Linked DNA regions of Caenorhabditis elegans. The protein of the gene in region 1 purifies or fractionates together with the protein of each later gene. This does not show direct contact. Each region holds a gene or a part of one and is shown on either strand. Other genes may lie near its edges. The genes, in order: lrk-1 and unc-16.

Evidence for each region.
Region 2: the proteins of lrk-1 (region 1) and unc-16 purify together in Caenorhabditis elegans (affinity purification with western blotting; one study listed by BioGRID). This does not show direct contact.

The regions. Positions count from the first base shown.
Region 1 is NC_003279.8:10,891,011-10,896,231, reverse strand, and holds the start of lrk-1 (Leucine-rich repeat serine/threonine-protein kinase 1), read left to right. Parts: upstream 1-1,994; 5' UTR 1,995-2,006; coding exon 2,007-2,093; intron 2,094-2,140; coding exon 2,141-2,297; intron 2,298-3,087; coding exon 3,088-3,285; intron 3,286-3,394; coding exon 3,395-3,500; intron 3,501-3,550; coding exon 3,551-3,613; intron 3,614-3,888; coding exon 3,889-4,033; intron 4,034-4,042; exon of another isoform or gene 4,043-4,192; coding exon of another isoform or gene 4,193-4,329; intron 4,330-4,890; coding exon of another isoform or gene 4,891-5,074; intron 5,075-5,118; coding exon of another isoform or gene 5,119-5,221. Other genes in the region: mop-25.3 (MO25-like protein 3), read right to left, coding at 4,193-4,329, 4,891-5,074, 5,119-5,221. UniProt on the Caenorhabditis elegans protein: Determines polarized sorting of synaptic vesicle (SV) proteins to the axons by excluding SV proteins from the dendrite-specific transport machinery in the Golgi. Role in stress response.
Region 2 is NC_003281.10:9,544,708-9,549,579, forward strand, and holds the start of unc-16 (JNK-interacting protein), read left to right. Parts: upstream 1-1,587; 5' UTR 1,588-1,651; coding exon 1,652-1,717; intron 1,718-1,963; coding exon 1,964-2,092; intron 2,093-2,672; coding exon 2,673-2,952; intron 2,953-3,043; coding exon 3,044-3,224; intron 3,225-3,289; coding exon of another isoform or gene 3,290-3,346; intron 3,347-3,858; coding exon 3,859-3,980; intron 3,981-4,083; coding exon of another isoform or gene 4,084-4,114; intron 4,115-4,464; coding exon 4,465-4,633; intron 4,634-4,706; coding exon 4,707-4,750; intron 4,751-4,872. Other genes in the region: ZK1098.9 (uncharacterized protein), read left to right, coding at 250-371; ZK1098.12 (DUF2975 domain-containing protein), read left to right, coding at 535-567, 618-692, 736-837, 886-1,014, 1,063-1,161. UniProt on the Caenorhabditis elegans protein: The JNK-interacting protein (JIP) group of scaffold proteins selectively mediates JNK signaling by aggregating specific components of the MAPK cascade to form a functional JNK signaling module.

The DNA.
Region 1 (5,221 bases):
TATTATTTGAAGTTTACAAAGAAATGGGATCGATGGCATGTCAAATACTGCTGACTAAACATTGAATAAACGGCGAAAAATGGGATGGATGAGAATTTTCATAGTAACTTTTTCACTGGAGACATTATGAATTTTGAGATTTTTCAAACTAAAATACCCTTTCTCTGGCATGGAAAATGTTTGAGATTTTGTACTGATGAAACTTTCGTCGTTCAATTGAAAAAGTTTCTAATGGGGTTCTACAAAAATTCATATAATATTTAAAACAATCGTTCTGACCTTCAGACCAATTTTAGATTTTTTTTAGAATAAAATAAAATTTAAAAAATTATTTTTTGAGTGATTTTTCACCAAATCACACAAGTTTCATTTTTAACGTCCGTAACAATAAGTGATGCTTAAGAACTTCTCTTGCAGTAGGCATTCTGTAGGTCGCTTTGAAGGCAGGCAGATAGGCCTGTGATCCGTCCCTTTAACCTAGCCTACGTAAAAGAGGTTGACTTTTGACTAGTTTTTTTGAAAGATATTAAGTCTAAAAACATTTATCATGGTGCTGGAATGACCCAATATCGTAACTATAGAAACAGTTGCAGATTTTTCGAAAATTTCAGTCAAAATTTTAAGGAATTTTTTAGCGGACTTTTTATTATTTTAGAACTGCTCTGCAGGTTTAAACTATTAGAATACTCAAATAGAAAATAATGCAACACAAATAAAAGAAAGCAAAGTTCGTTGAAAAAATGTTCCGGTTTACTTCCTTTTTGATTGTAAATTTAACAATTTCAATTTTTTTTGATAACTTTTACTATGACATTTTATTATTTAAGCATTACAGAAGTAGTTTTGAACAAATTCCTCCCGCCAATACCCCACGTTTAAATAGATTATATTTTTTCAAAAGTTCTTCCTAACCTGGTACAAAGGTCACATGCCCTAATTCATTTTCTGTGTCAATTTCGTAAAAGGTTCCAAAAAGGGGTGCCCAGACATCTGTCCATCTTTTCTCTTTCTTCCAATTCATTGCAACAAACCACCCTTCCCACACTTTATCGAAGAGAAATAGACACACGGATGGTTCATTAGAGCGTATTTTCTGCGCATGTCTCCCCAGTATTTGCCAATGTGTTCCCCCCTGTCAACATCGATTATCCTCTTTTTCATCTTTTTTGATGTTTCCGAATGAAAAAGAAATGGATACATTGTAATCAAATTGATTGGTTTTTCTTTGGTTTTAATTAGTATATATATCTAGTTGTAATTGTAACATATACCAATTTCTTATCAAATATTTGCTCATCTCACTTGAAAATGTTATTGTTTGAAATATATATGTGTTAACAAATAAATAAATTATACAGGTTGCAAAATGAGTTTTGCTCTCTGAGTAATTTATATTATTAAAATAAAAATTTCAAACCTGAAATTTTAAGTCATATGTACACTCAAAATATTCAAAAATTATATGTCTTATTTAATTGAAAAAATTTTCAAAATGATGTATTTTCACTCAAATTTAGAAAAAAATTAGTTAACTCCTCTAAGCTTCATCTTTTCCAAAAAAAAACAACATTATTTGAAAAAAAAAATATTTATTCAAGTTTTGAAAATTATTTTTAAAATTCTGTAAAAGTTTTTATTTGAGATAATTTAAAATAAAATCTTGTTTTTTTTTAAATTTTCAACTATGTTTTGATAACATAAAAACCTCATTTTTTGCCCGCTAGTGTCGGCGGGAATTCAAATTTATTAAGAACATTTTGGACGGGATATTAAATTTCTTCAGAAAAATGTATGAGAAATGAAAAACCACAGTACTCCAAAAAAGGCACGACTATTTTTTTGTTCAGTCGTGGTAGGACCTCATCCCTTAATTGTTAGACAAAATTTGAATTTTTAAACCATCATACAATAATTTCCTTGTTTATATTTTTCTTCATGAAACCGGTCAATTTCTCACATACTTTGGATAAAATTTATTTCAATAAAATTTCCAGAAAACATCCAAAATGGACCTCTCAAGTGGGGGTCCGTCATCTTCAAGCGATGTAGCTTCAGAATTGGATAATTCGGATGCAATGCAACTGGTTAGACAGGCAAGTTTCAAAAAATATTTTTAGAAAACAATGAAAATATTATTCAGGCAGTATTATTCGAGAACGTGGAGCTGCTGGCCGACTTGTTCAAAGTGAATCCTTGGGTATGGAATCGGGTTGATCGACATGGAAGGACACCGTTAATGTTAGCTGCTCATAATGGGAAGCTGGATAGTTTGAGGACTATTTTAATGCTTAGTCCTAGTGAGTTTTTGATATTTGAAGGTTTTTCAAAAAAAATTTTCGGCTACTAAAAAATGTTTTTTTTTTTGAAAATCGTAGAATTGTAAAAAAATGCAAAAAATCTAAATTTCATGGCTCTCTAACTATTTCATACTGGATCAAAAATAAAACACTAGCGATGTGTAGATTCACACATCTCTTGTACTTCTCGAGGAACAAATTTTACAGTTTCTAGAGTTTTTGGCTAGAATTCTTGAGGTTGTACCATTTTTGCCTATACCTTGTGTATGATAAACTAGAGTTACCAATTTTCAAAATTTTGTTTTAGATACAAATCGATGGATTTACTGTTGTAAACACTACTAAATTCTAGTTTTTCAAAAAAAAATTTCAAGCATTTGTTGTTAAAAGTTGAATTACCAAGTTTTGTTCATGTCAATGAAAAAAAAACTGATTTATTTACTAGAAAATAAAAAATTTTAATGTTAAAAAATTTAAGTAAGGTTTTCACGAATTTCAAGGTTAATGAAAATTATTTTGATAAAAAATTTACAGTACTTTCTTTTGGAAAAATCTAAAATTTTCAGAATTTTTAAAAAATTCTCTTAAAAAATTTTCTTAACTTTTCTTAATTTCCCTAAACCCAACAAAATCATGAAAACTGTGCAAAAAACTGGATTATTTTTTTGTTTTCTCATCGTGGAAGAATTTGGGTGGGCTCAAAGAAGCTTACAATACAAGCGTGGGATGAGCTGTGATACTTTTCTTTTTTGAAATACTCGAAATAATATAAATTTGAAAAATATTCCAGATTCTCTAAATCTTGTGAACGATCGTGGTAAGACCGCACTTCATATGGCAGCCGAATCAGGTGAAACTTCGATTGTTTTGGAGCTTGTCGAACTGGGCTCCGATCCAATGAAATCTGATAATGAAGGACATTGTGCATTGGAGTTAGCTCAAATGGCTGGACATAATGAGGTTGCCGCAAAGCTTATTGATGCTATTCGTAAGATTTTTTTATTTCGAAGAAAAAATTGAGTGTCTTTTTTTTGTGTCAGTCTTCATAAAAAATTAAAAAAATTTTCAAGGTTCTAGAAAAAATAGTAAATTTTCAGAAAAAGAAAGTGAAGATCTAAATGAAGCCCACACAATGATCATCAGTGCATGCATATCTGGAAGTGCTGACGTTGTTTATGAAATTTCAAGGAGATTTATGGAAAAGTCAGGGTTTTTTTTTCAATTTTTAATTTTTCTAAAATTATATGTTTCAGAAAACAAAGCCGCGAAATATTATTCAACGGTCGAAATGAAGAGGATGAGACTGCACTCTTGATGTAAGTTTATTTATTATTAACGGTTTAGTAGATCAATATTTTTGCTGTGATACACCGAAAAAAGTATGAAATTCCCTGCTACACCATTCAGCGATTAGCTCCGCCCACTCCGTTTGATTGGTTGAAAAGTCGGCGGATCGAGTCGCTGATTGGTCTAGCAGTTTCGCAGCTTGTTTCGGAGGGAATTCAAATTGCGATAATAATGAAAATTGAGTTTTTGAAGAGAAATCTCCCACTTTTCTTTTGAAATTTGTTTCCATAAAAATTTATTTCAGTGCCTGCACAAACGGTCATATCGAAATCGTCCGTCACTTATTACAATTCGAAGAGCATCTTCTACAAAGCCACGTATCCAAGGATACAGTAATCCATGCGGCAGTGTCGTCACAGAATGTGGAAGTGTTGCAGCTGTGTTTGGAGGTAAATTTTATAAAAAGTCGGGTTTATTCACAGAAAATTGAATGGCAAATCTAGTCGGAATATATCTGGAAAAACAGATTTTCACATCACAATCAAATGAAATGGCATATCTGAGAAATTGAAATTAAAAATATGAATAAAAAAAATAGGAGAGCTAGATTATTGACGGAACGGATTTCCGAATTTTAATGGTTCACGGAGGAATTGTTGGTTCGGGATGATGCGGGTACGGTAGACGTGATTCACTTTCGGAAGTCTTGGATTATTGTCGTGGAAGCAAGTTCGGACGAGTTGTTCTGAAAATTTTTAAGGGCTTTTTAGGCTTTTAGGTCATAGTAGAAATGAGCAATTTTTGTAAAATGGTGTCGTTTTTACAAAAAAAAAACGTTTGGACGAGTTTCATAAGTATTTTTAGTCTTTTTTGAAATTTAGCACAAACGAAACATGTTTGCGCCTTTAAAAACTATAGTAGTCCATCCCCATGTGGGTTACTGTAGATGATGAGAACGTTGGGGAAAGTCGGCATTTTTTCTCGATTTTTCGGTTTTTTTTTCTCAAAAATCAGGAAAATGTTGATTTTTTAAAAATAATTTTCAGAAAAAATTCAAAAGCAAATTTTTGTTACAAAAAGGTGTGCACTTTTAAAAAGTACTGTAGTTTCACTTTTTGGAATCCCTGTCGATTTTTCAAAGTTTTTTAATAAAAAAATATATTTTCAAAAATCGTGAGAAAAAACTATCGAAAATCTGGATAAGGAAAACAAAGTTTGAAACTACAGTACTCTTTGAAGTTCGTTTCGAGACCGAGCACCGTAATGTTGGCGGGAAAATCGCAAAATCTTGCATATGAATAATAACCTTCTCGCATTTTCTTTTGATGCGTCCATCCCTCCTCAAAATCTTGTAATTGTTCCTGGGTGAATGGTCTCTGCATATCCCAATTGAGCAACTTATAAGCCATCCGAGCATATTGAGCATCTTCTTTTTCATTTGGACTTCCCTGATAGTAGTGAATTGGGGCTGAGTTGAAGAAGAATGCAATCTGAAGATTTTGATGAGGATTTTTTAATTGGAAAAACTACTTACCAAAACATTTCGATTTCTACCAATGAACTCGTGAACTTCCGGCGAATTGCGTGGATTTCTAATAAATATCTCCAAAATCGAGACGGCTCGAGATCGAACGGCA
Region 2 (4,872 bases), on another chromosome or scaffold:
AATTTTTAGACTTTTATTAGTTTTTCGATATTTAAATATTTATTTATTTATCTGAAACTATGAAAAATCGATGCAAATTCCATAACAACGAAAATCTGAAATTACAGTACTCTTTAAAGGCGCACACCTCTTTGGATCTATCAAAAACTTTGCCGTATCGAGACCGGGTATCGTATTAGCATGACGAAAATCGCAAAATTATCTGGATAATATAGTAATGCTGAAGAATAAAAATTTGCACATTTTCAGGCAAAGAAGACATGAAAAAACTGAACGGTATCGAAGGAATGCAAACGATCAAAGAAGAATGTGGAGGATCAACTGAAACATCCTCGTCGAAACCGAAGAAAAAAGCCAAGAAAGAAGTCTGATTTTTTTTTTTTGAATAAATTTTAAATTTCTTCGTGAAGACCTTTTCTACGTTCTTTTAATTTATAAAATAGACAACACTTTTAACTTGATTTCCTACTCATTTCGTTAAATTCAAATCTAGCAAAAGGGTTATACGGTTACAAATCTTTGTAAAGTAGAAATATGCTTTTGAACAAACTCATTGTGGCAAATATTGTGAGTTTCTAGTTTTCAGCAGATTATTTGGGAATCTTCTTGGTTTTCAGATGATTAGTGTGACTGTTCTACTCCAGGGAACTATTCCAATGGGGTACGTATCTGGACTCGCGTCATTTTGGATGGTAAATTCTCATCTTAAAGACGTTCCTAACTCTACGTTTTCAGCTCTCAGCAGGTAGCGTTTTCCTCGTACTCGCAGTCATCACATTCATCGCTCTGTTGTTTTTGAGTCGATCTAAATGCATGTTGGCAATGAGCCAAAGAAAAGTAATTCCTAGTTTTAGAAAGTTATTTTACATTCTACAAAAATTTCAGTTGGCCATCTATCATGCTCCAGCACCAGTCACATCGTTGCTTTCGCTCATCTTCTTCATCGTGTACACATTCAGTGCCAAAGCTCCCCACGAGCATACAGCAATTAAAAACTGCATTGTGCTTCTGGATGTAAATTATATTAATCGACATGATTTTCTCTTTAATCCAACAATTCAGGTCGGAGTGGGAATTGTTCTGATGATTTCTCTGGTGCAAGTGCTTCTAGCGTTCCTGAGCCACCCGGAATATCCTGAGGAAGATAATGATGAACGTTGATTTATTTCGTAATAAACTGATTCTTTCGTATTTGTTTTTTCATTGTTTTAACACATGTTGTCACACTAAATTCGTGGTTTTGACGCAAAAATAGCCTAAGAAACACATAATTTTGATAGAGTTTATATAAAAATTCGTAATAGCGGCGCAAATTGAAATTCTATTCATGCAAAACTTCTAATGAAGTGTTTTTATTCTGAATTCAATAGAAAAATAAATTCTGAAGCGCAAAACGGCAAAACCCACTCGACATGCGTGTAGTGCGTGACGCACAAAACGCTCCTCTTCCGCCAATTACCGTATTCTCTCATCCACGAGATTCACACATGCGCCCAGCCTTCTTTTATTGATTTTCTGTCGCCGCGGCGAAGGAGTGGCACTTTATTTACATAGCTTTTTTCATTGCAAAGCACAAAAGCAACATAATTTGTAGAATTGTCTCGTCAACTTGCTCTCACATGGACCAATAATCGACAGAACGACTGAAAAAATGGCTTGCAATTTGTCACCGGTGAATGAGATGGCAGACTCAATTACGAGCAGCACACCGTCTGAGGTAAGTGGTGGCAAATGAACCATTGTTGCAACCGAGTGGCAGCAGCAGCGTCTCCCGATAGTTATCTCGGTTCTCTTATCGTCGCCCCCTACTACTATTCCTCGGCCAGTAAATACCGTTATGTTTCTCTTCCGCACTTCTCTCTTCATTATTGATTGTCGCTAGACACAACAAAACAGTTGGGACGGGTAATAGGAGGATTTTTTTATGCTGCATTCGATATTGATGGGAGAAATGTTATCTCAGATTGTGTACGGCGGCCCCGGCTCACCAGATGAGCATCGAACAATGTCGGATAAAGTGCAGACAATGGCTTCGGCAATTTATCGAGAGTTGGAAACAATGATAAAAGTTCACGGAGAAGATGGCGTGAAAGTGAGTTTTTTCGGAATTTTACTTTAAAATTTATTTAAATGGCTGTTTTCGCAAAAAATGTCCCAAAACAACCGGATTTCATAATAAGACTGATGGTTTTGAAAAAAAAAACGCTTTCTTTCTTCTGAAATCTTCAATTTTGCCAACTTTTCCGTGTCGCAACGGCCGGAAATGAATTTTTATTGAGCATCATTTCGATCTTGCTTATTTTTAGTTGCCTATCGCTTCAAATGTACCAAACTCAACGAAGTAACACGAGATAAACGACAAAATAAGCGAAAATCGAATGAAAATAAATTTCCGACCGCTGTGGCACGGAAAAATATGCAAAATTGTAGATTTTAGCTCATAGTTAAATATTTTTCAAAACATAGAATCGTCATAATTAATTGAAGAACTTTTAAATGATATTTTTACGAAATTCGGACTTTTTAGACCATTTTTTGATCAGAAATTGAAATTCTATGTTTTTACTCTACTTCAATACTAAATTCAGTATGTTAAACCAGTCAGCAGGTAAATTTATGCTAATTTTCTTCTCTCTTTCTCTATTATCATTCAATAAACTAAACATTTTCAGACTCTGATGCCATTGGTTGTAAATGTGCTCGAAGCATTGGATCTTGCCTATTTGGAACGTGACGAGCAGACTGCAGAACTTGAAATGCTCAAAGAGGACAATGAACAGCTTCAGACACAATATGAACGTGAAAAAGCACTTCGAAAGCAGACAGAACAGAAATATATTGAAATAGAAGACACGTTGATTGGTCAGAATAAAGAGTTGGACAAAAAGATAGAGTCACTTGAATCAATAATGAGGATGCTCGAGTTGAAAGCCAAAAATGCCACTGATCACGGTTAGTTTGTTACAGTTAGTTAATTGTCACCTCAATTATTAACTCTTGTGTTTTTCTTGGATAAATTTTTAAAAAAAGTATTATTTTTCAGCCAGTCGTCTGGAAGAACGTGAAGTGGAACAAAAGCTCGAATTCGATCGTCTCCACGAACGATATAATACTCTATTACGAACCCATGTAGATCACATGGAACGTACAAAATATCTAATGGGAAGTGAAAAATTCGAATTAATGCAGAATATGCCATTGCCAAATATGCAACTTCGAAACAAGTAAGTTTAATTTAATTAAATTTAAAAAAGTGATTAATATTTGACTGTTGTGTCGTTGTTTGTAGTTGGTTTCCAATATCACATCGCTTACATAAGAGTGGTGATCAAAGTAATTTGTCATTGTGAGTTTTGTGTCTGGAATTTTTGTTATTTTTCGGGAAGGTTTTTTTATTTTTCAAATTTTTGATTTTTTTTCGATTTGGTTATCCTCCACTTCACTCCAAATTTTGAAGCGCATGAAGAAATAAAAATCACCAATTTTTTTGAATTTATTTTATTTTCTTGATTTTCCAAATTTTTTATCACTGCTCTAAATGTCAGAAAAGAGATCATAATTACTGTTTAAAAAAATTTTCTAAATTTTTATGTTTTCTCCAATTTTGCAAAAAATGCGATATTTGTTGTTAAATTCCCGCAAACGATATAGATCTTTGAAAATGCTTCAATTATATTTATTGTTTAAAAAAATTGTATAAATTCGCTCATTACGATATACAATTTAAAGCAAAATTCCCAATTTTATCATTTTCCAAAAAGAATTTTGTTAGGCAAACACTTCTTCCACCTTTAATAACTTGGTTCGGTCCCCTAAAATCAAAATTTTAATTTTTAAAAGATATTATTTAAATTACAGAATGGGCATGGCTGCTTCTGTGGATGCATCATCAATTCGTGGAGTATCTGATCTTATTTCTGCTCATATGACACAATCAACCACGATGGATGTTAATCTTGCAAATCACATCACAAACGAAGGTGAGTTTTTTACGCGACCCTTCACAAATATGTAAAAATACAAAAAATTCTATATATCGCAAAATTTAGTTTATTTATTTATTTCCGATAATTTTTAACTAACATGAACTCGAATCCTCAACTAACCTTTATTGGTATGCCAGTTTTCTTCCGATTTCCATGCTGCAAAGGTGCGGCACGGGTTTTCGCAACCGCCGCGCGTTTTTTTAAAACTTTTTTTAACAGGAAATTTCCAACGGATTTTTTTCTGTAAATTCACTTATTTTCCAACTGCATTGGTTTATTGCTCAATTTTTAGACCTTTTTGGCTTAAATAAACCAGTTCAGTTGGAAAGAAATTTTAAATTTCCCATTAAAAAACCATTTTTAATTGTATTCCGTACGATGTTTCCTGTTGAAAAGTGAAAAAAAACCCGCTCCGCACCTTTTCTCAATGGAAATTGCAACCCTCATTCTTTTAAATCTTAAAATACTAATTTTCCAGACTGGCAAGACGAATTCTCATCAGATATCGAACCATCACCCAGGGATATTCCACAATCATCTGCTGATGCGTTGACTTCACCAATTACAACCAAAGAGCCGACTCCTAAACGAGAAGCTGCTTCACCGAAACAATCAGAAGAGGAAGAAGCTGACGAGACAACTTCTGTGTAAGTTAATTATGATTTTAAAATTTTATTAGGAATTTATATAAGAGTTTTGAAATCTATTCCAATTTTTCAGAGATCCCAAGGAAAATAACGATTTGCTCGGTGCTGATCTCACAGGTTGGTTTTTTTGTATTTAATAATTAAAAATCAAGTGAAATCGTCTAATTTATCTATTGTCCATCACTAATTAGAGTGTGTCGTTTCATTTTTTTTCACACTAACCTAATTTCTTCTTCAAA